4 linked regions of the Rhinolophus ferrumequinum genome follow. The protein of the gene in region 1 purifies or fractionates together with the protein of each later gene. This does not show direct contact. Links are inferred from orthologs where the notes say so. Each region holds a gene or a part of one and is shown in the gene's direction. Other genes may lie near its edges. The genes, in order: SINHCAF, ING2, SIN3A and RBBP7.

Evidence for each region.
Region 2: the proteins of SINHCAF (region 1) and ING2 purify together in Homo sapiens (affinity purification with mass spectrometry; 3 studies listed by BioGRID and IntAct, counting the BioPlex papers as one, with this or other methods). This does not show direct contact. The link is inferred for Rhinolophus ferrumequinum from reciprocal best matches to the Homo sapiens genes SINHCAF and ING2.
Region 3: the proteins of SINHCAF (region 1) and SIN3A purify together in Homo sapiens (affinity purification with mass spectrometry; 4 studies listed by BioGRID and IntAct, counting the BioPlex papers as one, with this or other methods). This does not show direct contact. The link is inferred for Rhinolophus ferrumequinum from reciprocal best matches to the Homo sapiens genes SINHCAF and SIN3A.
Region 4: the proteins of SINHCAF (region 1) and RBBP7 purify together in Homo sapiens (affinity purification with mass spectrometry; 3 studies listed by BioGRID and IntAct, counting the BioPlex papers as one, with this or other methods). This does not show direct contact. The link is inferred for Rhinolophus ferrumequinum from reciprocal best matches to the Homo sapiens genes SINHCAF and RBBP7.

Annotation. Positions count from the first base shown.
Region 1 is NC_046293.1:40,580,984-40,588,737, reverse strand, and holds the start of SINHCAF (SIN3-HDAC complex-associated factor), read left to right. Parts: upstream 1-4,593; 5' UTR 4,594-4,924; coding exon 4,925-4,982; intron 4,983-5,848; exon of another isoform or gene 5,849-6,230; intron 6,231-7,754. UniProt on the Homo sapiens protein: Subunit of the Sin3 deacetylase complex (Sin3/HDAC), this subunit is important for the repression of genes encoding components of the TGF-beta signaling pathway.
Region 2 is NC_046287.1:78,002,742-78,010,819, reverse strand, and holds the start of ING2 (inhibitor of growth protein 2), read left to right. Parts: upstream 1-4,975; 5' UTR 4,976-5,355; coding exon 5,356-5,530; intron 5,531-8,078. Other genes in the region: uncharacterized protein LOC117021196, read right to left, coding at 4,123-4,197, 4,295-4,975. UniProt on the Homo sapiens protein: Seems to be involved in p53/TP53 activation and p53/TP53-dependent apoptotic pathways, probably by enhancing acetylation of p53/TP53. Component of a mSin3A-like corepressor complex, which is probably involved in deacetylation of nucleosomal histones.
Region 3 is NC_046289.1:99,846,519-99,854,247, reverse strand, and holds the start of SIN3A (paired amphipathic helix protein Sin3a), read left to right. Parts: upstream 1-4,433; 5' UTR 4,434-4,523; intron 4,524-7,729. UniProt on the Homo sapiens protein: Acts as a transcriptional repressor. Corepressor for REST. Interacts with MXI1 to repress MYC responsive genes and antagonize MYC oncogenic activities. Also interacts with MXD1-MAX heterodimers to repress transcription by tethering SIN3A to DNA.
Region 4 is NC_046284.1:113,990,340-113,998,148, forward strand, and holds the start of RBBP7 (histone-binding protein RBBP7), read left to right. Parts: upstream 1-4,501; 5' UTR 4,502-4,705; coding exon 4,706-4,850; intron 4,851-5,133; coding exon 5,134-5,278; intron 5,279-7,809. UniProt on the Homo sapiens protein: Core histone-binding subunit that may target chromatin remodeling factors, histone acetyltransferases and histone deacetylases to their histone substrates in a manner that is regulated by nucleosomal DNA.

The DNA of each region.
Region 1 (7,754 bases):
GCTTTCTTGCTCAATCAAAATACAGTCCCTCCTTTAATTATTGGTTTTCTGTTGTGGTTTTCAGCTTCTTTCATCATTCTGATTTACTCTCCTGTGAACTCATTCTAGTTTGTCAATGTCCTTCTTGAAATTACTTTTGTTACCAGTAATTTTATTTTTTAAAGTATGCTATTCAAATAAGATAGTAGTAAAAGATGTCATAAGATAGTAGTAAAATACTTATAACTTCTAAAAAAATCAGAGATTACTCTTCCTAAGAATAAATATGTAATAATTCTTTAAGTTCAGAAATTTGAAAAGTTAATTTTGATTAAGTAATAGACACCTTTTTCTAGCAGCTGTCAACGGTTGTCGGAGGATTATTGGATCATATAACCAATTCTATACCTTATAGCTTAAAATTATCTGACTTGCTTGGACCACTCGTTAGGTGAACTTAAAAAGGATTTAAACAAATAGGTAACAAAATACTGTGCTTGTTTTGGTGTGAGGAAAAGGTTTAGCCTTATAGCTATTACCTGCTAAGGAATCAAACCCAATGTTTAATAATAATAATCAGCTCTTTCCTGGGCTCAACAAAAACGTTTTGATGTGGTTGGTACCAGCCTCTGGTGAGGGTATCAGCCTTCATTTAAAAAACAACCATTAGTTTGATTTGTCATTACAACCATTACTAAATTATTGATAAAAACATCCATTACCAAGCAAGAATTGTCCTTTTTGGTCCTTTATATATAATTTATCCTCCATTTCAAAAATATTATAATTGTAAAGTTGCTGACAAAAAGTCTCAAAAGAAGGTAATAAATACTGCAGGAGAAAATGTAGCAAACAAAGTAGAATTATATAGAAATAAATTAGAAGAGGTGAGGGGGCTTGAGCCTCTCTATTTCTGAAATGGTTGTACTATCTGGCATATCGTTATGCTAATTAAATATCTGCTAAATGAATGAAAATGTTCAAGCATTAGGGATAATTCTATAGGAGGGACCATATATTATAAGGAAGGTAATTGGCTTAACTGAGTATCTGGCAACTTATTTTCAATTTAATCTCAATTTTTACTATAATTTCAATTTCAATATTTTTGAGAACTCAGTATGAGTTAAACACTATAATTATTAAAATATTCTCAAATATTTTTTCTAACGTGGTGTAATTCAATCTCCTGTAATCCAAATTTATTTCCTTCCTTCTTCCCGCCCTCCCACCCTCCTTCCCTCCCTCTCTCCCTTTCTTCCTGATGAAAAATTCACTTGGACTACTTAGGTAATAGTATTTTAAAGTAGCCCATAAATGAGCTGTTTGTCCTGGATAGAGTCAGCCATAACAATGCAGTCAAGCAACAAAATGAACAAAAGAACCTTTGGAATGCACCTGGTTGTTCAAAAATAGCAGGAGGTTTTTTTTTTTTTTTTGGTTTTTTTTTACGACTCTAAGGAACTTGAGTTTCTCTTTAAGGATTTTGTTGCTACCTTTCCTACAAAAATTACCCAGATTACTTCTCGACCTCTACTTTGAGAGCAGAGGATGTCTTGCTGTATAGTAGCTCAGTAGCTCTGAAGCTTCCAGGTACTTTATCTGAACAGTATATCCTAAATACTGTAATTCCTGCATTGCTTGAACATTTGAACCTAATTGCATCCTAGGATTACCATATATATTCTTTACATAAATGTTCAAGAGAAGAGGCATTCAAGGTACATTTTTAGATTTATATAAATACATATGTAATTTCTATATTTATATAAAAATATATATATATCCTGTAAGCAATAATTGAAGTTTGAAAAATTGTGCTATTTTCATACTTTCAAAAGCATATACTAATTTGAAATTATTTTTGGAGGATCTGTCATAAAGCAAATAAGTACTTGATACAACCCAGCACAACTTTTAAAAATTTTCTTCAAAAAGAAGTTCGGAGTTTATGCTCAGGGTCCATTTTGCCACCAATGAAAGCCCAAAAACAGTTATTAAGCTTATTCTGTTTTATTTATTATGATAAGGAAAGGCATCATACCAATTGAGGTGAACACTATAACTTCCAGACTCATTTTAGGTTAAATACAAAAATTCTAAAGTTGTTTTGATTTGAGATAAATCTATAATAAATTTGAAAACATCCATTGATTTATTATTTTACAAGGAATTATTCAGAGTTAATTTGCTGCACATTGTGTTATGCACTGGAGTACAAAAATGAATACAATATAAAATTCTTGCCTTTAGGGAGCTCACATTTTAGTGTGAGATGTCAGTTTTTTTCTACAGGTATTTAATATAGAGTTTTCATATACAGTTACAGAAATAATATGTTACAGAACCTAAAGAAAAAAAGAAGCATTTAGTTGAAGATTTCAGAAGGGGGTTTGTCTTATATATATTAGGAATTGGCTGTTGAATTAAATGAGCGGTTCAGAAGCATCTATTTAAATGCACATTGTTGACACTACAATGAAAGCGGTGAAACTTGTCAGCAGATGATTAAGTTTTATGGTTGATGCCCACACGTTTGTAGCTTGGGACCAATATCAAGTTTCTGGGGGGAAAACATCCTTCCTCTCTCCCCAACGCCCACCCCCTCTATTATTAAATCAGCTTCTCAGCCTATTGGTCTGAGGCGTGTTCTCAGAATAAACGTGTATCACAATCATTCTGTTTTTCATTTTTCATGTCAATCTGAGAAGTTACTTCAGTTTTGTTTGTTTGTTTTGTCCTCCTGGGGCAAGAAGCATTTAAATTGTACGTTGACTTGTATTCCATAAGGAAGTCTACATTTCACTGGCTACTTTTTCAATTCCCAAGACCACCAGTTAGTAGTATTTCTGGATGAGTGAAACACTTTATAAACAGCTGGAGGAGGTATGTGCATCCCTAGATTACTGGCTAGTAATCTAGTCTTTTAGAAAAGTGGTTCCATGGAAATTAACAACCCTTCAACTCACACAGGCTTGAAATCTTAAGGCCAAAGTGGAGATAAAAAATTGGATTATTGGGTGGCCGGTTAGCTCAGTTGGTTAGAGCGTAGTGCTAATAACACCAAGGTTGCCCGTTTGATCCCGGATGGGCCACTCTAAGCCACAGCCTCCTTAAAAAAAAAAAAAAAAAGTTGGATTGTTATGGGTTGGGTTACCGTTTGAGGAGGGCAGGCGGGAGTTAGTGAATGGATTGAGGGTCAAATGGGACTTTATTAAACGACTCATTAAAACCACACGAAAAATAAACCTCTGCTGGCCCCACAGGATTAAACAAAGCTTCAAAAACCCAACTTCAAACAAAATCTAGGAAACTTGGGGGATTTATAAATTCAGTCTGGGCGCTTGCAAGACCACTTCCTCTAACACTTCAGCACAGAAACTGGGCACAGGTGTGAAAATTTTGCAAAAACACCGTTCAAAACTATTTTTCAACGCGAAATAGTGCGTCCTAAGAACTTCAGGGTGGAAAGCACGTCACGCAGTCTAGTGTTCTCCCTCTGTTGCTAACCTTTCCGCCTTTCCCATCCCGCCACTCCCCCTTGGCCACAGCCTCCAGACAGGAGGCGTTTGTTTATGTGACGTCAGCCATAGTAAGCAGTCTCCGCCCCAGTTTCCTTCAGGCCGCCGCGTTTCCCGCGCCACGGCGCTTCTCCCCTTAAAAGGACAATAGAGGCCCCGGGAGCGCGCGCGGCCGCCAGGCCTTCTCTCCTCCCCGCCTTCGACGCGCGCGCGCCCGTATGCAAATGAGTTCAATTCAGGAGAATTTTGCTCCGGGAGCCGCGCGTGCGCAGAGGGAAAGCGGAATCTACACCTTCCCGGGCAGCGGTAGCAACTGCAGAACTGCTGGAGACAATCTTTCTAGACAAGGCAGTTGAGGAGGAGGGAACGATTGGAGGGGGGGGTTGGCCTGGCGTGCACTCCGCACTTCGGGAACGTTATTGCGCGTGGAACGGTTGCCTTTGGAAGGTGAGTGACTCTAACCATTACTCTGGTGCAAAACTGTCTCACAAGGCTTTGATTTCAGTGGCTTTTTTATTTTTTATTTTTTCACCTCACCCCCCCACCCCCAGTCCTTCCATACACACACGAAGTTTTGTCTTGGAGATGGCATTGCCGGCAGTGCAGTTTTCGTGATTTTGAGACCCCATATTCTTTTGTATGCACACGTTTAGTGCGTCTTTTTTAATTGAGGAGGGGATTTAAGGCAAACCGAAAGTCTTGGGGTGGGGGAAGTGAGTGGAGCCTGGAAACGAGTGCGGAGTCGCTGGAGTTGAGGGATCCACGTTGAAGGTGACAATGACTTTTCTCAGTCGCAGCGTTCTCAGGCGGAAAGGAGCCCGGTGGCTAAAAGGCCCGAGAGGAAAACGACTCGCTGGCAATTGTGGAGGGGCCCGGGTCTGTGCATCGCGTGGGCGCGCGCCCGGGAGTGGTCGGGCGCCGTAGTTGAACCTCGTGGTTTAGTTTATTGCAGCTCCTTGCGCGTGTTTTGAGAAGGGTGGACCATAAACGCCATTCGCTCGGAAACTAAGTTGTCTACTTGCGAACTGGCGGGTTTGAGGGGGTTTAAATCGGCCTTTGGGTCGGTGCCGGGGTTGCCGAGTGCACGCGGCGTGGCGTTGTTTGCCGAACTCCGGAGGGATGCGGATGCGACAATGAGAGCAACACGCGGCCTCTCGGAAACAGCCGCGGCTCCCACACGCCTGTTCTCCCCCGACCGCGCCCAAGCAGCGCTGGTGTCCGACGTGTCTGTGGAGCCTCAAGTTTTGTTCGCAGTGTATTCACCTGTAGCGTAGCTGTGGGCGCCACGGCGAGGGCTTTCTAGGGCGACCGTGTGCGGCTTAAGATGGCCAGTCAGAGCCAGTTGACTTGGGGATGGAGTCAGCGGCGTTGTCTGCGCCCTAGGAGTGAGAGAACTCCGGAGGGCACTCCTTTTTGTGCTGAACATGACAGACCACGTGCTTGGGGCTGCGACCTGGTTTTCTTCGGAGTGTCCAGCTCCAGGTCAGCAGTGAGATGCAGGCGCTGTCGGGTCCGGCCGCCTGGCAGGACAATGTGATTTGCTGATGATGGCGTCTTGCCAGTTTAAAAAGCAGAGTGAAAGTCGCCAACTCCGCGCGGTTGCGGGGCGGGTAATCCGGCCGTTTCTTATTAAGGACAGGGCAAACTTTGATGAAATGGGTTTGCAGCCGAGGGGAGGACGGCAGGACAGGGCTCCGGACTCTCGGGCGCGGGGTCCCAAGCCTTCCCCGGGGTGATCGTCAAGTGTCTCGTCCCTGGGAAACAATCCGACATCCTGATGCTGCACGTAGGCAGCGCCGGGCTGGACAGAAAACAAAGAGCTGCATGTGCCCATGCGGGCCCCGCTGGCGCTCAGGGCGGCTGCGGGCGGAGGGCCGTGCCGGCTGGGCCCCCCGAAGTTCGGGCGAGTTTCGGGAGGGGCTTTTGTCCCTCAGCCCCTCGCGGGGAAACTTTGGCGGCACTACTTGTGTGAGGTGCCATGCTGGTGCACGGGGAGGCGGCAGGCTTCCGCGCTCCGGGCCGGCGGGCGAGGGAGGCAGTGTCTTGGGGTCCTGCAGCTTCAGCCCCAGCGCCGCATACCGCGACGGCTCAGGGGCCGGGAGATTGTGGCCCCGAGTTCTTGGCCGGTTACCCGCGGCCCGGAGCTTGAGTCTGGGAGGTCTGTGGATTCGCCTTTGAAGTCGAACTGTTGCCATGTTTGAATTACGTCAGGGTAAAGCCATGAGGAGGAACAAGCCCCGGCAGCGCGGCGTGCGGGAGGCGCGGCCTGCGGGAGGCGCCGGGCTGGGCGGGCGGCGGGGAGGGTGCGGGGGCCCGTTGTTCCGGCGCAGGTGAGGGAGGAGGAGGGACGCAGTTCACCTCCGGCTGCCCTCGCCAGGGCCAGCAGCTCTCCACGGGAACTTTCTTCCCGACCAAAGTTGGTTTATTTACCAACAAATCCACCCGGGAGCATTTGTATTTGCTGCCTTGTTGCCTCTTTCTCGGCGGTCACCGCGTGCACAAGGGAGAAGCGCAATTTGGGGAGACCCAAAGGCCGTGGGCGGGGACCCGACGGCCGTGGGAGGACGGGAGAGGCATTTTGCTGCTTTCGGGGAAACCGGTGAATGCGGCGAGCACCCCCAATCCCCGCAGCTGAGGCTTGGCTCGCACGTTCAGGGAACCCAGCCCCGACGACACACGGAAAACCACCGTGAGGAAGTTTCGGGGCTCTCGGCTGTCCTACAAAGGGAAGTGAGGACTGTGGCCGAATGGTGCACGCTGCTGTTTTCTTTGTGTGTTTATGAGTGGGAGGGGGAACCGGGAGGGGCGAGGTTTGTTTTGGTGGGTGGGAGGTTTCTTGGGGTGGTAGGGAGGTGCAGAGTTTGTTCTGGTAACTGTGACCCTAGTAGGTTTCTTTGTTTTTATTTTCTTCCTCTAACCCTCTATTGCTAGACGAGGAATTAACGTTTAGTCAAGGGTGGACACTGTGCGACACAGTTTTACCCCAGCAATCCTTTCCCCGAGCTCCTCATGTTGTCCGAAGGAAGGTTAAGAAAACTCCCCCTCCTCCCATTTTCTTATAATTATTTAAAAAATGAATTTGACCTTGTCAGTAAAACTACCCTGAAAGCACCTGTTTTTGAACTTGAGTTTGCCACACTTGCCTTTGAATAATTTTCTGTTGCAAAACCTAACACGTTTATTAGTTGCTCAATTTAAATTCAAGCCTGGGAGTTTGTTTCTGGTGGAGCTGGAGAAAAGCCTGATGGCATTTGAAGTATTTTTATAATAATTTGGGGAAGGGCGATCTTTCTTGGCCCTGAAGGTTTGCTTGGCTCAATGTGTGGTGATTATTCACTGCATTATCTTCGGATGACCTTGAAGAAGCGTGTAAATAAGGAGTTGGGCCTTTCTTGGAGATTAAATATGGGGGTTGGGAGGAAGCTGCGAGGGGGATGACAACAGGGCAGTGGCTCGCCTTCCCTGCTAGCTTCCTCCTCGTTCCTGTGAATTCGGTTGACCTTCTGGTTACCCCTCTTGGATTTTCTTTTCATAGCTAACTTTTTTTTGGGTACGTTGCCCCAGGCATAGCTCAAAATTTATGCTGGTTTGACACATGGATGCTTCTTTGGTATTTAGGGTTTGCCTTCAGTCTAGACATCCGATAAGCAGCAGCACCATGTCGGTTGCATCTTTCCTGACATCTCCTACATTTAGATCATATTTAAGGGTTAGAATCTAAAAGTGGTCATTACTGGAAAATAATATCCTCAGCTGCCACGCCCACACACAGAAAAAAATGTACAAATTGAAGTCTGTTTTGTACTTTTCATTGTTTTGTTATTAAATAAACTCATTTCTCCTAAGTTTTGCTTGGCCAAATTACAAACACCTAATGGCAACCAATATTAGTAACAAACAGTACATTTCTGAAGTGAGTAGATAGCACGTCAAAATGAAAAACTTTGGATTTAATAACTTTATGGCTCCCCTTTGGGCAGTTATTACTCTGGGTCCTGTTTTTAAAATGCATATGAAGTATTTTGCGAATACATAGATTCTTTGTTTTTCTTAATTCGTATTTTATAGCCGAGTTCCGGGTAGAATTTAAATATTCTGGGATATTTTCAAACACAGTATATAGAACTTAGTGGGTTTTGTTTTACATATCATGATGTGTACAGTAGAGATTTTGTTTATCAAGGTGGGTAAGTTGAGAGTGGGAAAGACACACGAAGTCTCTCTGCTGCCTTTCCTTTTTGCATTACTTTTGCT
Region 2 (8,078 bases), on another chromosome or scaffold:
TGCTGTGTGACTGTGGGCAAGTCACTTAACTTCTGTGGGTCCCACATTATTACCTGTAAAAAAACGTTGGTCTGTAGGTGATCTATAATAGGGATCATCAACCTTTTCCCCACCCCTAGAGACATGATGGTTATGACAAAGTACGATCAGTGGCAGTGGCTTCCCCAACTATTCACTCAGAGAGGCTGTTGCCTGCTCTCCTTTCTTTTGGGGAAATAAGTGATCTAAAATTAATTTTAGCTATAAAATGTCAATGAGTCTACAGTTGGTATCTACAATATCAGCTATTTAATTTTGGACCAATTTTTAAGTTTCACTAGCAAAATTAGACAACAATTTCAATTTTGAACATATAGTATAAATCTCTCTTCCTTAAATTTGAAACCCTTTCCCCTGCTTTTAGGAAACATAATTGCATAATTCAAACTCCTTCAATACTGTGACCTAGTTCCCCCTCTTGATGTTATAACCGGCTCATGTAACTATGGTAACCATCCAGGGAAAACTGAGTGTTTTTCTGGTCAGCAATATGCAAAGTATAACATATGTGTGTGTGTGTTTTTCTCTCTGGCATAGCCAAAGTAGATAATACGTGTTTTTCTTCTTGGTTATGGGAATGATATTTTATTATACTGAATTTTCTCTTGACTACAATCCCAGTCATTCACAGCCCCTTCATAATGTTTTAGGATCTTTTGCTGTTAGTCATTCTAAATGCTGAACAGTACTGTAACCCATAGGATTGATTGTATGCACCAATTTTAAATCTGTGCTGTCTACCTCACTAACTAAATATACAGGATGACATTGCTCAGATTTCTAATATTCTATCTTCAGAATCTGGTGTTTTCTTAATTTTGTCCTTTAGTTGTAGCCAAAGTGGTTTCTTAAAGCAAAAAACTGAAATGGAATTACATCTTGGGAATACACTTAGGTACTGAGAAAAGTTATCTCATTTGCAGTGATTTTCATGTATCTTCATTTTAGCTCTATTTTTTTCTAGTTAGTGTGTACTACTTATGCAATGATGCAATTAAACATGCTTTAAAACTCAGCTTAGTGGAAACACAGACCGTTAGTATTTTTTTTGCTTGTTGTACTAATGAATTGATTTAAAGTTTTAGGTTATTTTCAGTACAAAATGCTTCCTTGAACCTTCTAGACCTTATACGTGTACTCTAAATTAATACAAACTCCTAGATTTTCAAGGATTTCAGTTGCATGAGGTACAATTACATTTCTACAGCGGACTATCAATTGTTGACCTTCTAATTTGAAGATTTTGTTTGAAGTGATTTTGTTGACTTTCCCTGTATTTTTAACAGAGCTTTTCAACCATCCAAATATCTTTGTTAGAAAAAGGTTGCTATCTGCTTCACTGATTTAAATAAGGAATTAACTGCTCTTGCTGGTTTAGAAAAGACCTCACTAACCAAATGCAAAGTGTGGAACTTGCTTGGCTCCTGTTGAACAAACCAAGTGTAAAAAGATATTGAGACAATAGGGAAATTTGAATTATCTGTATAGTACATGATAGTAATAGCTCATTTTTTGATGGGATAACAGTATTGTGGATGTTTTTAAAAATTATCTTATCCTTTTTATCTTTAAAAAAATTTATTTTATTTATTATAGTTTCAGGTGTACAAAACGATGTAATAGACACTTAACATTTATACCCTTCACAAGTTGATAACCCCTCTCCCCTAATCTACTATCCCTCTATTTACAGATAACAAGAATAGTAATCCAGCAAGGGTAAGGAGGTTATAGATAATATTGGCCACATATTGGTAAATGTTCAAGCTTGGTGAATAGTGTATTAGGATTTATTGTACTAGTACCTCTACTTTTGTGTGTTTGAAAATTCCATAATAAAAAGTTTTTAAAAAGTATTTAAAAGTGGAAAAAAGTAAAGGATTTCAAATTTAATTGGCCTGCCTCAGCGCAGGAGCTGAATTTTCTCAGGAGATATCTTTAGGAATCCTTCAGAACTACTGGCTAGTTTGTTGTCCGAGTTTGAACTTGTTGCTTTGCCTTCTAACAGTATAAATAAGGGCAACAGGACATAGGGTTAGAGACATAAACATTCCCTACCAGGGACATCTTGAAGTAACTGATTTAGAAATTAAAGGTGATCCCAGACACTTCTACCAATTTAGGGTGTCAGTTACTTACCTTTTTTTTTTTTTTATTGGGGAACAGTGTGTTTCTCCAAGGCCCATCAGCTCCAAGTCAAGTCGTTGTCCTTCAATCTAGTTGTGGAGGGTGCAGCTCAACTCCAAGTCCAGTCACCATTTTCAATCTTTAGTTTCAGGGGACTGTGTCCCCCGTCCCATGTGGGAGTTGAACTGGCAGCCCTATTGTTAAGAGCTCGCGCTCTAACCAACTGAACCATCAGGCCGCCCAGTTATTTATTTTTTTTTAGGGTTACTTTATAGTAGAAAATATATTGAAGAGCAAATAAGATGCCTGTTTTGCTTTATTCATAGGGTTAACTTCTTTAATTAACCAATTAACTTCTTTGTTGCAGAGAATTGGATACTTTTAAATATTTCATTTAACAGAGTAAAGGAACCCCATCAGAAAAGGCCCCAAATTTCCAGTTAAGTGACTACTGAGAAGAAAAGGACATGATAAATAACCAAGGTCAAAAGTTGAGTTTGGGGAGTACGGTGATTTATTTTTTTCCATGTAAGTACTCGCCCCACAGTCTGCTTTCACAAGGATGGCAGGAATAAGCCTTTGATTAACTTTTATAAATTAATATAGCAAGAAAAGCACATGTCTGACATAATTTACATACACATGTATATTACTGTCTTAGAGTGTTCTTTATAGGTTTAGACCAACACAAACTGAAAAATCATTTTTTTTGTATTTGGTTCCTTTCAGCCTGTTCAACAGAATTTTGAATGGTGAAAAAACGCTATAAAAGGTCTCCATTCCCATACTCACCCTTCTTTCCTCTCACCTGGCTCTAGGTTCCTAGAGGGAGTACTCTAGGTATTTTGAATCATTCATTGCCTTTTCTCACTTCTTTTTTCTAACCATGTGTCTTACTGCCTGCAGATCACTTTTCAGGCTGAATAAAATCGGTAGGTGCATTCAATGTCTAACCTGAATCGATAAATAACAAGGCATCTTGCATTAATTTGGCCCTTCAATAAAGACTAGCTGATTCAAATCTATGAGTAAACAAAAACAGTAGGGTTCAGGTAAAAAGCAATAAAACTCAATTCTTAACAGCGACTGGTATTTTACAAGACCTGACTTTAATCTGAAAGATTTAAAGAATGGCAACAAAATCCCTGGACGGTTCTCAGAAATGCAATGCACTGTACTGCCTGGGTTGACTTAATATTCAAGTGGTCGAAACCTCAGTGTCGCAGGATAAAATAACACAAGACAATCTCCACGTACTGTGCAAGTTATTTTTTTGTTCCTAAGACGTCGCATTTCCCGGAGTGCTTTGTTTTGGGCAGAAATGTAAAATTTCCTCTAGATCAAGATGTAGATTTCTTTTTGCATGTCAGTGGTTACTTACTATTAACAGCTGTTTCAAAAATGCTCTAAACAGGTCACCGTACAGGAGGAGTACCACCAATGCAAACAAACCAGATACAAGGAAATCCAAATTTATCACCCACTCACGTTTTCTTTTTAACTCAAAGGTACTACTCACAATAGGGTTTGTTTACATAGGCATTCCGTTAAAATTATCAGTGTATCCGTTCTATTTACATTCATTTCTTTCAAAAACACGTTATCACATATAGTGAGAGTCCACCTGGAATTAAAATAAGCTCCTCTGCGTGGCATTTCACACTAGAGAAATTAAACCCTGACAGTCGATCACGTAGTTAAGGCCGTGGGTCTGAATCCGGATTAGTTTTTTACTTTCGTTTATACCCCCTTCTTCCTTCAGGCCCCTCAGTATTTTTTAAGTCTTAGAGTAAAAACATATAAAAAGTTGGTGGTGTGTGCCTCACGCCGCCAGTAAGCCCTCGCTGACGTTTAATGCGTAAACATTCTGACTCACGGAAATTTTTTTTTTTTTTTTTTTTTAAATTAAAGGTTGTCTGTCAGTTAAACACGTTTCCTGGGCAGGCGCAGCCAGAACTAAACGGGACTCCTGAAGAGCTGGAGGGTGGACAAAATCTGCAAGGCACTTGGGCGCCGGGCGACCTCCCGCGTCTGAGGAAGGGCGGAAGCACGCTTAAGCCAGGAGGGAAATTTAAAAGGCGGGCTGACTAAAAAAGAAAACGCAGGGATTCGCGGGTGCGCCGCCTACCTCCGCGATCAGCCCCCGGTGCCCCGCGGGCCCGAAAGCCGCGGCTGGAGAGACAGAGCCCGAGGGCAAGGCAGAAGTGGCGGCCGAAGCGAGCTGCAGCGGCCCGGCGGGAACACAGCCGCCACGCATGCGGGAAGCTGCGCCCGCTGCACGCTGGGTCGCGTAGTTCCCGCAGGCCTTACTCCAGGTTGCGGCGAAAAGCAGCAGCCTGCTGGTCTTTTCAAGGCTCGCGAGGGGCCGCGCTAGATCCACCGATGAGGAAAAAGTCGGTAATACCGGGCGGAGGGAGACAGGCCAAGTTTCCCTCTCCCTGGGAGAAGGACGGAAGGAAGGAGTCAGCCACCGTCCCCCTCCAGTCCCATTCAGATACTGGGCAGAGGGGAGGGCCTGACAGTGCTTCTCCTTTAAAAGGGGGCGGGGCGCAGCCTGCCGTTTGGCCTTCCTCCGCACCCTCCCCTCGGGCCGAGAGTTGACAGACCAATCGCCCGGGTGGCGGAGGGAAGGCGGGAGAATGCGAACCCTTGTGTAGGGCGGTAGGGGCGGGCCCCCGGCCTTATTAGGAGCGAGTCCTGCGCAGGCGCAGACGCGGCCGCAGGAGGAGGGGCGGGGGTAGTCCAGTGAGAGACTCCGACAAGCACAGAGGGTGATTGGGAGAAAAGGGGGCAGCGAGCGGCTTGTCATGGGGATCTGAGCTACGACAAGGCATTAGTAGCATCTGGGAACTCCGAGGGGTACAGGACGTGTCAAAGTCCGGGACCCCGGCGCCAGCTCCGCTGGGGGGATCCCCGCTGCTCTAGTCCTGGGGAGGGAGGGCAAAAAGGAGGGAGCCCTGATCTCGCCCCGCCCCTGGGCTTGTTACCGCGGGGGCGGGGAGTGAGGGCTTCTTTTGGGGGGAGTGGAGATCGGGGGACTCGGCTGTGCCCTCTTGAGCTGCTGCCGGTGTCCCCGCGGCGCCGGGCTGCGGAGCAGAGGAGCCGCCGCGGCCGTGACTGTTGCATGTGTGGCTGCTGGATGCGGAGGCGGCGGCGGCGGCGGCGGCGAGGAGCAGCAGCGACGGCAGGATGTTAGGACAGCAGCAGCAGCAGCAACTCTACTCGTCGGCCGCACTCCTGACCGGGGAGCGGAGCCGGCTCCTCACCTGCTATGTGCAGGACTACCTCGAGTGTGTGGAGTCGCTGCCCCACGACATGCAGAGGAACGTGTCTGTGTTGCGAGAGCTGGACAACAAATATCAAGGTAGGGGGCCGCGGGGCTGCCTGTGCGGATCCTCCCCTCACTCGGATCCTCTGGCCTCCGGGCACGGTCGCTCGGACTCTGCCCGGGGAAGTGACACTTTCCATCTGTCCTGTGATTGTCTCCTCGAGTGCACAGAGGGGGTTTAGTGTGTGGGACGGGGGAGACGGACGGGAGACCGGGCTCGCGGCCCTCCCTTCCCCTGCTGCGGTCGGCGAGGACTTCGATGGGGTCTCAAGGGTGGGGGTGGGGGCCGCTCGTCAGCCCCCGCTGCAGACCCAGCGGCTGCAGCTGGCGTGAAGAGGAATCAGCCATTTTAAGCAGCAAGCATTTGTTTCGGCACTGGCTTGCCCCGTGCCGCAGACCCTCCTGCCTCGGTGAGGGAGCGTGCAGCCGGGCGGAGGGCCGTAGAGTGAGCGGGCGGGCACCCGCTTGTCTCCGGGGCCTGGCTTCCCTCAGCCCCCTTCGGCCCCCACCCCCTGAGAGCAGATACATTGGAACGTGCGGGGGGAGGAGGGGAGAGAGGGCCGCGAAGGCGGACTTCGGGGAGGTCCCTCCCTCCGCTCTCTGGCTCCGGGCTCGGGAATCGGAGAGTCCGTACTCCTCTCCCGCCCCAGGTAAAGTTCCGGGCCGTACCCTTTTCCCAGCTGCTTCAGCCACATGGTTAAAACGGGAGGGGTCCCTGCGGGGAAAGGAAGAGGGATGTGTGTGTGTGAGTGTGTGTGTGTGTGTGTGTGTATGTATGTGTATGTGTGTATGTGTGTGTGTGTCGGGGAGGGCACCCCCTGTTCCTGGGGGCGGGGCCTGAAGGCGTGACGTAGGACATAGGAGGGGCGCGGGCGCTCCTGCCCGCCTCGAAAATGGCTGGTCGCAGGAAGGCTTGGGCGGAGCTGTCTGGTTGGGAGGGCGTCGGAGCTGTGCAGGACCTTAATTCATCCCTAGCAGAGTCAGTATTGGGGTTTGGGACATGTTGGTCGTGATTTTCCGACTGTTCCCCAACCACTCAGTTATGATGAGGATACAGTCAGCTCCTGGGACCGCCACTAACCCTGGCTCCTCGTAGTTTCCGGGCCTTGCGTTACTTCCGGGACCCAGGAGGAAGTGGGTGGTTGACTGGGCAACCGCCTGGCGTCCCTTAACCCTTGGGTCGCTCCTCTGCCAAGTTTAAATCATGAGGCAAAAACCACGCTTTGTGGTCAGACCCAAAAAGCCAGGACAAGGAATCAACCTTTCTTACAGAGGTGGACCTTTCGCCTGCTACTAGGAGGGGAAAAGTTTAAATGGAGAGCCACTGTGCTTTTAATAACCCTGAATCAAGGAACCAGACCTTGGACATAATGTGGAAGCAGCCATATGGACTTTAAACAGATGACTTCTTGGACCTGTTCTCTGCTTTCTAGCCACGTCGTTAATCTTATGATTTAGTTTTTAAGGAAAACACTTCACGGGTGACATTTCTGGCCCTTAGCATGTTAGAAATTTAAGGGTCTCTGTGCTTTGGAATCTGTAATTTATTTCTGCCGTTTGAATCCGTGATTGATAGGACAGATCTCTGTTGGGGGGAAGAGAACTGATACTGATTATTTACTGTGTTGCAATCGCTGTGCCAGGTCTAGAACATCATCTCATTTAATTCTTACAATAATCCTATGAAGTTGAAATTCATTTTATGGATAAATTATAATTTACAAGGAGTTTAAAAGTAACTTGTCCAATTAGTTGGAGAATATTTGACTTCACAGTCTGGCTTCTTCAGATGCACATCCCTGTTTTTAAACTCTTTTAACTTTTTGTTTTTTTAAAAAATAAAAGGTCACCAAAGGTATTTCCTACAGTCATGGAACACATATAGTACATGCATTGTAACCCAAAAATGATACATATGTGCTGAATAATTGTATATTGAACATTTTTAGTTTTTTGAATAATAATAGGTCTGAAGTGTGTAAAGTTTGCAGGTTTTTACATTTCTTTAAAGACTGTATTCGCCTTCACAAAAGTTAAGCTATTTCTTTTTATTTGAAATGGGGGTGGGGGGCAACAATTTGTTAGAAGGAAATCTTCCATTTTGACCATCTAGAATTGCTGTAAGTAGTTCTGGTAACACGAGAAACAGCATTAAATCGTAAAAGATTGAGAGATTGTAAAATTTTTAGCTCCATTAAGATTGTGGTTAGTTTCAAGATCAATATAAAAACAACAATCTAGTTTTCACTCTGTGACATGCTTACTAAGTTCAGCTTTCACAGTTTTATCTGTATGAGCTGTATATATTTGTGTATTCTTGGTTCAGATTTCATTTTTTTTATTTTTTTGCTAGTTCTTAAGTATTTTCTATTTTTGGATCTAACACAGCAGTATTTACTGATATAAATTATATAGGCAGTCAAAGAAATTTCTCTCCTACCTTTCTGAGACACTTTTAGAAATTACTGAAGAACCTTAAAAGTAATTTTAACTTAAAAATAGAGAAATGAAGAAAATTTTACAATTGAATGAAGTATTATTTATTATGGGATATGGTTATTAGAGACCCTCAGTTGTTGTTCCA
Region 3 (7,729 bases), on another chromosome or scaffold:
ATTCTGTGGCCAGCAGCCAGTGGATGTATGGAGTCTGATGTTCAAGGCAGATTCTGTGTTGGAAGATGTCAATTGGAGACTTAATTTAGATAGAAGCTAGGATCCTTGGAAGTGGGTGAGAGCAGAGAAGGAGGAGGGCAAGAAGAGAAGAAACTCTTGGGAGCCACCAACATTTAGGGGAGGAAGGAGGAAGAAAAGCCGGTGAAAGATTGATTAATAGATAGAGGTAACCAAGGACAAGGCCAGGCTGTGTTCTCATAGTCTGGTGAGAGGGGAGTGGCTGGGATGAATGAATGGGATTGGGAACTAGGTTCAAGAGTGGCCCTTGGGGCAGGGACTGACAGAAGGGGCATGCGTGGGAGGTGAAGGAAGAGGCAGCAGGCAGCTGGGGCTGTCGCCAACCGAATATGGCCCCCCTTTTCTCTCATGTGCCAGGCCTCTGATTACTGTTTCATTGGAACAAAGGAACCTGGTGCTTTACAATAAAATTAGCTGATACACAAAAGGAAACACTTTGAAAACAAAGTCAGGTAAACTGGGGAACATAGTGTTTTATCTACTTTCTAGATTTGGGCTAGAAGTGGCCCAGAGGGGTAAGTTAATGCTCAGTGAGGGGAAGACGTTTCAAGGCAGTGAATGGCAATCTCCAAACCCACTACAAGATTCCAAGCCTCCAAAGCTATCCGGAAAGCAGAAGCATAGAATATGTACACCCTAAGCCTGAAAAATGGAGTTTCTTCACACAGTGGGTCCTTCTGCCTGTCCTGGCTCCTCAGACTGCAGCACCAGGGAGAGGCGTCGCATTTCAGTGGCCCGGCCATAGGATTAAGAAGAAAAGGTCTGAGAACTTGACTAAATGCCAGGCATACTTTAATCTCCCAACAGCCCAATGCTGTAGGAATACTTAGTTTACAGACAAGAAGATTGAAAAGATAAATGACTTGCCAAAGACATCCAGCTAGGAAGTGGCTAAATGGATTTTGACCAATAGCTTGAGCTTTTCCCCTTGAACGTACCTATAGGATGCTTTGGGTTGGGGGTGGGGACCAAGCCTCATGCCCCTCATCTGGATATTCCCAAATTGGCAATGGTCTATAGCTGGCAGAGGCTCTGTCAGCAGGGCACTGGCAGTGACACCCTTTTTACAATCACTGACGTGCAGGCCTCAACATCTCAGCCACCTACCATAAGCACCCTAAAGAACTGAATCCTTTCTGTGAATGACTGTGTGAGAGAGAGAGAGAGAGAGAGAGAGAGAGACGTGTGAGGCATGGTGACTGAAGGTGTGACAGTTTTGAGTATATGTGAGCTGAAGACACTGTATGTGCTTGGAAGACAGATCTTGCTTCTTCAAGGATAATATTTGTGGAAGGGCCAGAAATCATTTGGAATGATCTGGGAACAAACTACTTTTAGAGTTCAGAAGGGTAGAGCAAGAGGGGAGGCTGTTTTCCTCCAGACACCTCAGCCTGGTCACGGGCCTAGTGTGTACAGACAACATATGGGGGAATGGATAAAGCTCAGGCTTTGGGCCCAGACAGTCTTGGCTACTTGACTTGAACAAGTCACTCTACTACTCTGACCCTCAGTTTGCTCAACTACAAATAGGATAGTAATCCCTAACTCACACAAAGGAGGCCTCCTGGGACTCAGAACCTGGCTTCTCAGTGTGACCTCTCCAAGGAAGGCCCTCACCCACATCCACTCGCTGGTTTGTCCTCACTGACAGTGTAGGGCATAGGTAGGGTGGATGCAAACTTAGGTGCAGCTGGAGGGCTCATGTCGCCAAATCAAATGCTTTCCCAGAGCCTGGTCCTCACTGCTATGCAGGCATCAGTGTACTGAGTCAGAAACAATTGCTGTCTCCTTTCCAAGGGGCCTCCTTTGCCTGACTGCTGGGCACTGGGGGCTCCGAGGTGAATTAGTGGTTGTCCTACAGGTACACAATCCAGGGGGGTTTCTAGAGGGGATTTCCACCAGGGTGGTGCACACAGAAGGTAGGGAATGTCAGCAAAATCTGGTTATATTGAGTGGGATTAACTATTCTAGTTGTAAATACTCCCTAAGTAACTTCATCCACAGTACACCATGTGCTGTCCAGGCTTACAGTCAAGTGCTTGGGCCTTTGGCCTCCACAGAAGCTCAGAACCTCACGAGGTGTATTAAATATCATTCCATTTGATCTTCATAACGGAGCAAGGATTGCTATGTTATCTTCTTGTACAGCACAGGAGGGTGAGCCACAGATGAGAGACTAAGTGGGAACCATGGGACTCAACTTCTAATGTTCTTTCTGCTCTACCACTCTGTCTCATCTCACATTCACACGGTATCTGTTAGGCCTTCATCTAGGTCACAGCTTCTTGGGAAATAGAGCAGGAATCTGAGACAGGGCCCCAGATATCAGGGGGATCTCTGTTCTGATATAGTCAAAATTGGTTCTCACCCTAGGGAGCCCCCAGTCTGAGAATGGACTTCAACCTCCGTGGCCCTGCCAGGTGCTGGGCCTCCCACTGAATACACAGTCCTCAGCTCCTGGCCTTTCCCCTTCCATACCTTTTCCCTCAATGATTCCACCAAGCTACCACCCAAATTTTAGTCCCCACTTTAGGACACACTGCCCTTCCCTAATCAGTAATTCTTCCCACCTTCCCCCTCTCAGTGTCAAACTTCCCTCCCCATCCGACCCCCAGCCCCATGAACTTTCAGTGGGGAAGGGTTCTTTGAGCCTGTCTTTCAACTCCATTTTCCATCCCCATTTTCCGAGTTGGGGAAACAGGCCCAGAGGGAGGAAGGGACTTGCCAAAGGATGTATCACCAGTTACTGACCACGCTAAATCTAGAACCCAGATTACCTAACCAGTAGCCTCAAGCTCTTCTCCCTCTTCACACAGCAGGACGCTGACCCCTTTCCCTCCACTACCCACACTGAAACAGCCTTGCTTACCGATTGCCACTGTCCTGGTCAAGTCCATATTACAGCTCACCTGAAATGTTGGGACAGCCTAACGGACAGCAGCCCCCATTTTGACCACAGGACTCTAAGGCTCTCACATGCTGCACACACCATCTCATCTACACTTCCTTTCTTTAATAGGTCTTCACTCATTGCGTGTCCTGGCCTCAGGCTCAGCTCTGTTGAGCCTTGCCCCCCAGAAACTCCTTTTGGAAGTTAAGACAAACACTGCAAATGATTCAAGGAAGAATCTGAATCAGAGCTATGACTTGAGGTCTACTGAAGGCTTTCAGGATTGGGTGGCTGGGAGAGACAAAAGAAACCTCTTGACTCCCCCCATTTACCTCTCCCACCAGAAGATGTACCTCTGCAATCTCCAAACCCAGTATTACAACAGCCTTTGTGCCTTACCTTGCTGCCTGTAGGCACCCCTCACTCAACCCACCCTCAGCTGCTGGGATGCTGAGCATCTTACACCACAGTTCTGAGCCTGTAGTCATGTGACCATGCTGCTTGCACATTGTACTGTGCAAGTCCAAGAATTTTAACCAGGTATTAAAGTTTTCTGCCATTTGGTTCCATCTTTCCAACCCTGACTTTCATGACTACAACCACACTGGGAGGCCTTTAACAGTGTCTTGCATTTACTCTTTGGTGCCTGTTGTTGAAAATGACTCGCCCCTCCATTTCTGCCTGATGAAATCATTAAGACCCAACTTGAATGCCACCTCTTCCATAAGACTTTCCCAGTTTTCTCCAGCTAGGAAAAAAATCTCCCTGCTCTGAGCTCCTATGATAAGATATCTAAGATATCTAAGATATCTATACATACATTTCTGCCTTGCTTTAGCTCTTCTGTAGCATCTCCTCAGCCGGGTCTGGAGCCCTGGTAAGGTACACCGTGAGCAGCCTATTCTCTGTAATCGCACCCAGCAGCGGGTGCGACATGAATGTGTCCGCCTCACCCACGGTAAGTGCTCAGACAAGTGCCTGTTGCCCTTAACACAGGACTTACCGCTTACACAGTTCATTTTTAAGGCAGGCGCCTAACAGAATGGGCCATACACGGTTAGGTTACACCGCCAGGGGAGTTGAGACATTCCAGCCAGTCGCTAGGGTGTCTCTATAGCCTCCTTCTACCCCCCCACGTACCGCGCGTGCGTGCGTGCGTGCGTGCCTGTGTGTGTGTGTGTGTGTGTGTGTGTGTGTGTGTGTGTGTGTGTGTGTGTGTGTGTGTGTGTAGGAAGTGGGGGCGGGGTACCCTCACTGGCTCCTCCTCCCAGCCCACCCTGTGGATCAAGTCCTAGAAGGTCTCCCTCCAGTCCAAGAGCCTCAAGAATCTCGAGGCAGCGGTGCTGGAGAGATAGGGTCCTCTCCCACAGATGCGCCTCCCACGCACGGTTAATTTATCTATATATATATTTGTTGGAGGGAGGGGGAGTTCAATGAAGGAAAGAGGTGGGGCGAGGGGAGGAGGCGGGCCGATGGTGACTGACGCGAGCGCTTGGGAGCCAATGGTCCGTGGGGGGCGTTCCCCCCATTCAGGACTCCTCGCCTGGCTCGCAAGGTATGTTAAACAGCTGCTTTTAATTTGGTCTCCCCAATCTCCGCCGTTTGGGGGGCTAGTTCGCCGGGCGGTCGCTTTGGCCGGTCCGACACAGTGCGGGCGCCGCGGGCCCCGAGACGGAGCTTGGGCAGGCTCGGAGTCCGAGGAAGGCAAGGGGCAGGCCAGGAAGGAGAGCTCTTGGCGCCGCCCGCTCGCCAGTGTTTCCCAGCCGAGGGGGCTCCGTGGGGAGGGGGTCGGCCCGGCCCGGGGTAGCCAGTACGCTGACCGTGCTGCCTAGTTTATTTCACCGAGCAGTCAGTTTCGGTAGGTTGCTGTGGCGGACTGGGTAAGGGGGCGGGCAGGAGAGGATCTCCCTATGCTTCTGAAACGCCTTAAAAAAAATTATTGTGAAGGGGGAAAAAAAAAGGACTCCGCACACCGACTGGAACCGGACCGGAGCTGCGGCGCGCGGGCTCGGCAGGGGGCAGCGGCCTGAGCCCTCCGAAGCTGAGTGGGTCGAGAGCTGGAGTTCGCGAGCGAGCTGAGGCCCGCAGCTTTCTCCGCTAACCACGCCGGGCGAGTGCGGCAGCCGCCCCGAGGGTTTCGTTTCTATCCGCAAACTTGTCGGAAGGGGCGGTGGGCGCGCTCCGGGGAGGCGCGGGCGCCGCGGGCCCGCGGTTGTTATGGACTCTGGGGGCGGGGAAACGCAGGCCTGGCAGGAGGGGCGGCCGGGGGCGGGGAGGCCACCGGAAAGAGCCCCTCGCGTAGGTCTAGGCGTTCCGAATTCGTGGGCCGTGGTGGTAGAGCCGGCCTTCGGCCCATGAACCAGTCAGGCCGCGAGCCCGCGCGGAACTCGGCCCGGCGGTGTGGAAAAGCTCCAGCAACTCGGCGGCTTCGACCCTTGCTACAGCTGATCCCACAAACAAGGAGCTGCTTCCCTCCCCGCCCACTCCAAGGCGGCGGGGGCGGGGGCGCGGGCGTGCGAGCGCGCCCACGAGGGGGTGGCCTGAAAGGGGCAGTGAAGGTCGGAAACTGGGAAAACAGTCTCCACGCTCGGACTCGGGAAAAGGAAATGCATCAGCGGGAGGGGAGGGGCGCGCCTGTCAGCCGGGATGGCGGCCGCGGGCTGGGAGGTGGGGCTCCGGCGCGAACCGCTGCCGTCAGTCGGAACGCCTCCGGGCGAGGAGTAGGGGCCCGAGCCCCCAGAGCGCCCGGCCGCTCCGTCATCCACTGCTTGGCCTATCCTGTTTACTACGTATCTACTCCGACGACGGCTTGTGCAACTGGCGCGGAGAACTGGGGGGCGGAGCTTTTCCTGTCTTCCACCCACCTTGGACTCTTCTAGAGGGCCCGCCTTCTCTTGTCTTCCACTGGTTGGGCGCGGCTCCCTTTTATTCTTCTCGGTTATCTATTGGATGACATTCTCCCGAGTTCCGCCTATCGGAGGCCGGGCTGGAGTTTAAGTTGCTAGGATTTTTTTCCGTGAAGGGCGGAGGGAGGATTCCTGCGGCTTACGAGACACGCAAGGTTCCGCCCCTACTTCTGATTGGTGGGATGTCGTCCCGCCTCCGGCGTAGCGAGCTTGGAGGGGGAAGTCCACCCCTGCCTCCCGCCCCCTTCCCGGGTTGTATGAGCTGTAGGCACACGTGTGAGACCCGCCTTGCTTCTTCGAACTGTCCTCCCGCCCGGAAGTACCGGACTTGGAGCCTTTGGCGAGGCGGGGCGGGGAGAGCCGAGATAACAATGATCCTCCAAGGCTCGAGATCTAGTAGCCTTTGCGATGAAGTTAGGGGTTGAGGGTGTGGAGTGTATTTTAGGGGCTTAGAGCTTTGTGTTCTGCAGGGGGTGGTATCTGTCCTGCCGGGCCGAGTACTAAAGTTCTGACTGCGGCCTGGCTATTCCCGCGCCCCTTGACTTCCCAAAGATCGCCCTGAGCTCAAGCTTGAGAACGCTACGGACGCTGACAGTGTGTTTTCTTACCAGAGCAAGGCAACCGCTGTCCTTAGCTGGCTTTATCTAAAACTAAGCAATCTAGGATTGGCCTGGATGCCTTAGGCTGGATCCAGGGCAACTCATCCCTTGTTGACAGAGAAGTCAGGAGGCCAAGGGGGGGGGAGAGGGGGAGGAGGCGCGGTGGCCGAATCCTGCTTGGGTTCGCAGTGGTTCTTGATATGAGGTGGGAGCGCCGTGGTGCACCCAGTCCAGGGAGTGGAGACGACCCAGAGTTAAAGGTAGCCCCTGGTCTGTTCTGCAGAAGCGCCAGTCCTTCGAAACCTCCGGGGGATTTGGCCCGGGGTTCGCTTTAGTTGGTATTACTTATTTTTAGAGTTCTGTCCTGGGGCAGGGCTTGGCTCCCGGCAAGGCTGCTCCCATTTGTCGGCTGCTCGTGGGGTTCACAGTTAGCTGCCTTGTCCTTGCGGCTGGAAGCCACCCTTGCAGTCAGGCCCACCTGTTGCCAGCGCTGGCTTCTGCGTCTCCGCTTTGCGTAGGGAGGACAAGATAGGAGGACCGAGATTCCCTGGGGCCTGCCACTTGTGGACTGGGCCTTTTTGCTGGAGAGCGGGAAAACTCTAGTCCCGCCCCCTCCTCTCCTGGCGCTCCGTGAGCGCCCTCCAAAGCAAGGACAGGGTCAGTTCGCTCTATCTGGTGAATAAATAAAAGCAACCTAGGCACTGCAACCACTTTGTGTGTTCGAGGCACTAAAACCTATACAAAGAGGGTCTATGTTCTGCCATTAATATTCGGCCGAGGAGAAGGTGAACAGCCGTTCTTACTATTTTTTGTCCCCAACTCGAATTTTTATCCTTTCTCTGAAGTGTGGGGTGAAGGTTTATGTATGCCATGGCCTGTTTGACCCCCTTCCTCAGTTCTTCGAGTCTGAAGATGCCTCCCTGGAAATCGCAAGTGCCTTACGCTTCACGCTCCGCCTTCCGGAGGCTTGCCAGGGCGGTGGCTGTTAGGGACCTTCCTTCATTTTGGTTGTCTCCGCCCTTTTAAGACTGCTCATTCAGGTTTAGGGAATGTCGGTGTTGGAAGTGTGCAGCAGGTTGGCAACCCCTGGGGCTACTCTCAGTTTTGGTTTCCAGTCCTTAATTCTGCACTCTACTTACCGATAGGAGTTGTCGGCTGCTCCGGATATTTGTGTTTACGAGGAGGCAGCGGGTGCAAATGTAAATTGTAAAGAGAACTGATAGGAAGGATGAGGTTCTCCTTTTCTTTTTCTGTAA
Region 4 (7,809 bases), on another chromosome or scaffold:
GTATATTAAAACTTGCTTGGGCTGGAAAGCTCAGAGCAATTTTTCTAAAAGAAGGTTCACATGTGAAGCTTCCTTGTCACTGCTTATGGATTGGGATGAGGCCAGGAGGAGTTTCCTATTCAATATTTTCTGTTTGACAAATATTTATTTACTACGCCCCAGTGATTCTAAGTCTAAGCCCCAGGGATTCTGGTCTAGGTCATTTGCTTTATTCAGTGTCACCAATGAGAAGCCCACATTGCTTAACATTAGCAGCTAACACAACAGGGTAAGTTGGCCTTTCAGAAATCCAGAGGGACACCCTACAAAGATTAAATATTAACACACTTAGAAGTACAAAACAATTACTTCACTTTACTTAAATATCACAATAGTAAATGAAAACAAAGTATAGGTTCAAACAAGTACAGTGAGTTTTTACTTTACAATAATTTTCCTTCAGCTCTCTCTCACACAACTGCATTAAACAATATTTTAAGAGAAATTACTTAGCATTCTATCACACTAAGACAACACTTTTCATTTGTCTGCATTACTCTTCTACCATTCGTTTATACATTTTTTCCTAAAATGTATGGGGGTTTTTCTGTTTATAAGAGTAATGCCTGTCCACTGGAGAAAATTTTTAAATAAAGCAACATATGAATAAAACAACCATCATCCACAATAATACCGGTAACCAAGAGACAATGGCTATTAATGTGTTTGTGTATTTTCTGCTGCTGCTAATGATTTGAATGAAAATGATTTGGCCAGAAACAAAATTGGTTTTCATTATGCTCCTCTTTTGCTTGTGTAATTTTCAGATTTTCTGTAATGAGCTTTGGTTTGCAATAAGAAAATCAAATGATAAAGGAATGTATAAAAGAGCAGGTGCTCTATATGTCTTGTTCATTCCAGGTATCTCCAGAACACCAGTTGGCACACAGTAGGTACTTCAAAAATATTTCTGAATGGCTAAGATTTTCTCCAAAAACTAGTGAGACAGGGATGCTAATGAACACAGAATCACTGGGCAGCCATGTTTGGGGATATTCCCTCTCTCATTCCTTTTGGTAAGCAGTTCATTCTAACACAATCACTTTTGCTGTCTTAATATAAGACCGATTGAATTCAAATTCCAACTCCAACACTCACTAGCTATGTGACCTTGGCAAGAAATTTCACCACTCTCTGCCTGAGCTTCCTCATCTAGTAAACACTGGCCCAGGTGCCGGGAATACAACAAAACAAAGATCCTGCCATCAATTTACATTCTCGTGTAGGAGGAAAGCCTATGAACAAACATGTGTCAGGTTATGATAAGTGCTATGAGAAAAAAACATAAAGGGGACAGAGAGTGATTACCTGTGGGGGCAAGATGAGGGAGTGCTACTATTTTATAAAGGGTGTTCAGGCAACTAGCTAGAGGTTTCAAAATTATCCTAGCGTCCTGTGTTTTTCAAACTCCAAGTTGTGACTAAGTGCGATCACAAAATTAATGTAAAGGGTAACTTGCATATTTAAAAAATGAAATAAAATACCAGCGTGCATCACACATATTAAAGGTCAGCACTGTTTGGTGTAACTTGTTTCAGTTTATATAAAAGTGTACTAGTCTGTAAAACACCATCAGCATGGAGAAATGATGGTTAACACTACAGCAACTTTGAGGTAAGCAGTCTTAGAGAAAGGTAGGTGCCTAAATAGGGCCTCTCTCAGTTAAGGTAGCCCACACCTTGTGCATGTACCTATTGGTGCCTTACTCGACGAGTAGACTAAGCTGAGTGCAAGTGAGACAAAAAGGCAACCACAGAGAAAGTGGGAGAAAAGAGGAGGACCAGAGCTAAGAAGTCGGGGTGAAAGGCAAAAAACAAAACTGAACAGTTAAAACAATTTAAAAGAGAAAACTGGTATTACATTTTTGATGCAAAAAAGGTACCTGACTGGAAAAAAGACCAAAAAAAATTTAGAGAAACAGAATTGATAGATTACACACACACACACACAGCTAATGCAATATGCTGTACATGATACTTTTGGATTAAGTATATGATAGTGCCTGCATATTTTCAGAAACTCCTAAGTATCTGCTTCATACTCCCTTCTCTGACCCTCAGTGAACTGAACAGTACAAAGATTTTAAAGCAACATCGTCTGGTAAAATTTTTCAACTCTTTAAACATTTCATAAGGTTTGGAAATCATGCTCACCCATCAGAAATAAGTAAAATATATTAAAGGGAGACTGGAAATCAAATCGTCTGCCAAGCCTTCTCTTGCTGTGCACGTGAGGAGGTACCCACTGAAGTACAGCTGTAAGACACAATTATTCCAGAACAAGGTGGGCAAACTACAGTCCTCCGACTAAATTGAACCCTCTGCCTGTTTTTGTATGGTCCATAAGCCAAAAATTTTTCCATTTTCAAGTGGTTGAAAAAATTCAAAAGAATATTTTGTGACACATGAAAACTACATAAAGTTCAAATTTCAGTGTCTATAAAGTTTTATTGGAATACAGCCAGGTTCACCCATGTTATCCAGGGCTGCTTTCTCGCTACAACGCGGCCGTTGAGTGGTTGCCCCCAAAGCCTGAAATACGATCTGGTTAGAGAAACGTTTGCCAACGAGTATCCTAAAACATGAGCATGGCTGTATTGTTTAAACACCCTCCCAACTGTCTTCCCTCTCCAGCGCCTCCCCTCCTCGGCTTTGGTCTTTTAAGATTCCTGGGCCTGACATGAAGGCATATCGTATAGGAAACCAAAGACACCCGACAGTAAATTTCTATATAAGGTAATATGAGTGGTTCTGCCACCGACTAGGTTTAACGTCTGGGTTTGTTTCCCGATCAGAAAAGTGGGCATCACAGCGGCAAATGCACGATTTCGTTTGAAAATCACCATGGTGACTTGCATGAAGGCACTTGGAAAATATCAAGGCAGCAAATGTTCCGCGAGATGCTTATGCAGGGAGAGCCTCTCTCGGAGTCTGGATATAGACTATTGTTCCCTTTGCACGTAGCACCACGACCACCTCCTCCTACCCCGTCCCCTCTGCCCCGGGCCCTTTTAGCCTTGCAGCCCGCTTTCTCCTCACCCCAACGCACTCCTCAGGGGCTACCAAGCTCCCAGGCAGAGGAGGGCTCAGGAAAGCCAGCCCAGGTTAGTTTCGCGCAGCTTTCCCCGGCCAGCTTCGGGTGGGTTTGCCCTGGGACACCCCGCAGGTGCTAAGAATGACTCAGCAGGGGCCCGGGGCTGGGAAGGAGACAATAACTCCAGTGCAGAGACAAAATCCTCTGAATACAAGAGAGGCTGCAAATCATCGTCTGAAGGACCCAAACGTGTGAACAAACGAAAATGTAATTCAAGTCAGCTTTGGGCCTTTGGCGGCCTGCCACAGGTTTAACCTAACAGGGAGGCCCGCCGTCTTCTGCACTCACAAAACGCCCGCGGCCTCTGCAAAAAGTCCCCTTTGCCTCCGACAAACCCCACCTAGGCTCGCCCAGGCCTCAGGAAAGGCCAGTCGGCAGGAGGGAAACCTTTCGGGGTGCACAGAATTGCATGCCCATGATTATCGGGGAGACTTTGAGGGCACAGTAATCTCTCGAGACTAGAAACCATTTTCTTCTCTCGCTCTGAGATTTTGCTTGGCTAAGCGGTGGCAGCCTCCCTGCCCCCCTTCCACCCCCACCGCCGCGGCCGCTGCAAGCAACCACGCCCCGCGGCCTCAGGGCTCGCCTCCTGGGCTCGCAGCCCCCGCGCAGCCTGCAAGCCTCGCCTCCAGTCGCCCCACCCCCGCGCGCCCCCATCCGCCCCCACGCCCGGCCCTGGGAGCGCAGGGCGAGTCCTCGCGCCTGCGCCTCGCCAACTTCCTGTGGCGGAACGCCCCGCCTACCCTCAGAAGCCCGCCTCCAAACGCCGCGTGAAACCTACCTATCAAACGTCATTGGTCGAGACGACGATGCCGTCTGCTCTCAACCCCGCCTCTCTACCGCCTCTTACTTTTCCCAGGACGGGTGCGCCTGCGCTCAGCTGCCTGGGCGGGCTGGGAGGCGCGGGTTGAAAAGTCTCGTTCCAAGTTTGGAGAGAGAGAGAGAGAGAAGAGCTCCTCAGTCCTCGGTACCCGTAAGCGGGGAGGAGGCGGGAGAGAAGGACTCGGCGTCTGGGGAGCACCCAGGCCGTGAGACAGAGCTCAGGCTTCGAGAACTAGAAGCGTGTGGCGCGCCTGGGAAAGGCAGGAGCGCCTGCAGTTGGGCTGCTCTTGGCAAGCGAGGGGAGTCCGAGGCGGCGGCGAGGGGCGAACAACCCGACGCAAGATGGCGAGTAAAGAGAGTAAGAGGCCCTGCGGGGCGGCGCGCGCCGGGGCCGCGGGGGGCGGCGGGCTCGCGAGGCCGCGGCACGCGCCGGCGAAAGGCGCGAATTGGCGTGCGGAGCAGGGGGCGGGGCCGGGCGCGAGGCTGGGCGAGCGCCTCCAGGGGCCTACGCGGGACGCGGCGCGGAGCGGAGGGCTCTGAGCACTTCCGGAGTCGGGCGCGGGGCCGCGGGTTGGGCCCCCTTCCCCCCTTTTGCCCCCCCCTCCGGCGGCGGCGCTCCCTCCGTCGCCCTCGGCCCCCGAGCGGAGGCGGCCTTCGCCGCCGGAAAGCGGGCACGGCGGCTCTTTCCACGCGCGCGTCGACGCCTCGGGGTCGCGGCCCTTGTCCGGGGAATTCTGGAACCCGCCGGTCTATGGCTGCCGAAGCCGGCTTTGTGGGAGCGGAGGCCTCTTGTGGGGGATGGAGGGAGCGGGTCGGTGGCTTTCTGCTACACGTGGATTCGTCTCCCTGGGTGGGTCGTGGAGCCCCTCTACGAACGGGTCGTCATCTTAGAACAGGTGCGAACGGCTGTAATCGGCAAAACAATTTCGACGTCCGTGTAATTACCCAGTTCTGTATACGCAGGCGATATTGATCTCAAAGTGCAAAAAATCAGCTTCCTGGTATTAATATTCTCTCCATGTTCTGGAAGAGCAGTTAGTTGTTCGAGTCCAAATTAGAGGTAAAGAGAAAGAGTAGATTAGGTGTGGCCTTCTCGAGGTGACCTCCAGTATCTGTGTACAGGTTTTGACTTCGATCCCTCTCAACCCTTTAATCGTATGGGCTTTCTCCAAATTTCAGTGTTTGAAGATACTGTGGAGGAGCGTGTCATCAATGAAGAATATAAAATCTGGAAGAAGAATACACCGTTTCTGTATGACCTGGTTATGACCCATGCTCTTCAGTGGCCAAGTCTTACCGTTCAGTGGCTTCCTGAAGTGACTAAGTAAGGGTTCCTGGCAACTTTTATTTTGCACAAATTTCACTGTTGGCCTGAATTTCCTACTTTTGGCATTTTCTATGTAGAACATAAGCATGTAATCAATTTAGCCCTTGGATGAGGTGGCAGGTGATTTTTTATTTTCAAAACTAACAAGCGGTTTATGGGATGATTTCTGATGTATAAGTGTGGCGTTGAAGTGGGAGAAAGAATCTGTTGTGAGATTAATGATATTTGCTGGAAGCACCAGATATATTTAACATTTCTTGGGCTTAAATATGAAACAGCATCTCTCTGGGCCCAGATGAATGGATTTCTTTCAAACTTTGTTGAAAAATAAATGTACAGAAGAGTGCACAAATCATAAGCATGTGGCTTGATGAATTTTTACAAAGTGAACACACCCATATAACCAGCCCCCAAGATGCATACGTTTTAATTAGCAAAGGGGAAAAGAATTTAGCAACAGTTCAAAAAAAAAAAAAGTGACATTACTGGCTTACAGTATGAAATACACTTTGAGGTTGCTGTTGGTCTTCATAAGCGTGTTTTGTTTTCAGCTATTTCTAAAATTTCTCTGGTAATAATTGCTGACATTTATTGAGCACTTAGAACAGGGCCTGGCACATCTACAGTTTTTTACCTTCTGTTGTTTGGTTTAGTATTGAGAATAAGTACTTTGATTACTTTTTATCATCCTTGTTTTACTGATGTTAAGTAACATGCCTAAGATCGCACAGATGGCAAATGGTGGAGAGGGGCTTTCAAATCTAAAAGGTAGCCCCAGAGTTCAGGTAGTCCCTGCACTAGACAACCTTCCTCATACATTTGGACTTTTTCTTGTAGGAACTTGACCGTGCACTTTAGAAGCGTATTAAACTTGGGTATTGTGTGCATATAATTTAATGAGGATTAATCAAACTCTAATCTAGAACGGGATTTTGCAACAAGTTACAAAAATAGAGTAAGTTAATTTTATATAAAATTACTCATAATGGCCAGATTCTCCATATATGAACATTGACTTCCATACAGTTAGGGGCTTCCTTTTAAGTTCCCAAAGAAATCTCAGGGTAAAAATATAGATGTGGGAAGAGTAGCCAAGAACTAAATAATGGAGACTTCTAAACGTTGACATTTAAAATAACTTTGAGCATCAGTTACTTAAGGGTACTCCTGTGCATTTGACTCTTTGAGTCTTCCTATTAAGCGGATTTACATTCTCTTAATTTACATTCTCTTGGAGCTTTTTGACTGACTATAACAATAGCAAAGAGTGAGGGCTTTAAGGTTAGAGACCTGAGCTTGAATCCTCCCCCTTTTTAGTAGCTTTGTGAATTTAGAGCGAGTTGGTCAGTCTCTATCCCTGACTTGTCTGGTCTGTTAATGGAGGTGCTGATTGTACTGACTGCTTACATTTGAGGGAATTACATAAGATCATGCATGTTAAAGTGCTGGTGCAGGGTAAGTACACAGCAGTGACTGGTGCTGACTCCTATTCAGAAATAATTTGTTAGAGAGGATGCAGTAACACTGTTTCTCCATTTGGATTTCAATGAAAGCTGCTTACTGAAGTCTTTAAAATGGTACCTATAATGTGTTTTGCATAAAGATTTTTTTAAAGATAATAGATCTGTATGTTTTCAGTCCAGGTATTGCTTTTATATGAACACTTAAGAACTTAGCAGAAAATACTGTAAGTAAATTATGTATTCCATGGTGTTCTTTGCATGCAAAGAAGTGGGATCTGGTTGTGGGACGTGCAGTGGCTCTGGGAATGCAAGAAAATGCCAGCCAGCCTGCATTCTTGGATGTTGAGGATTGCTGTGTGTGCTTTGCAGGGTTCTTTTTGGGGTATAAAGGGACTGTGATTGTGTTTTGTCACTATACAGAGCAGTAGAAATGTTGGCTGCTGTTACGGCTTGGGTCTTTGAGGAACTCGACCCTACTCAACCTCACAAGGCCTTCTGCCTACATACAACCTTCTTCTGAATGATTACTTGCACTTTCTGAGCTGTTGTCCTTAAATTGAGTTAGGTAATTGTCCACATAATTGATTTGGCTTTTTAAATTATTTAGGTGTTTCTTAAATTACTTTTCAAAACTGGTAGATCATTATTTTATATTACCTTATTAAATAATTTCTTAAATGTATTGAGACTAATTTAATCTCTACCTAAAAAGCTTTGCAGTCATTCAAATTCAGATGGTACGAAAGTGCATAGAGTGAAAAATAAATCCCCCTTCCACATTCTCCTAGTTCCCTTACCCAGAGTGGAGTCAGTTGTTTGCAATTTCTTACTCATCCTGCCAGCATGAAGTACTTACATATATCTTTCCTCCCATCTTTTTCTCTAGTAGCAAGTTGTTCGCTTGAGTTTTTAGTTAGGGATTTATATTGGAGACTTTTTCCTATCAGCATGTTTAGATATGCTCTTTTGTTTTAAGGGCTCCATAGAATCCCATTTATGGGTATACTATAATTTATGTCACCGGTTCCTTGTTGATAGATATTTAGGTTGTTTTCAGTCTTGCTG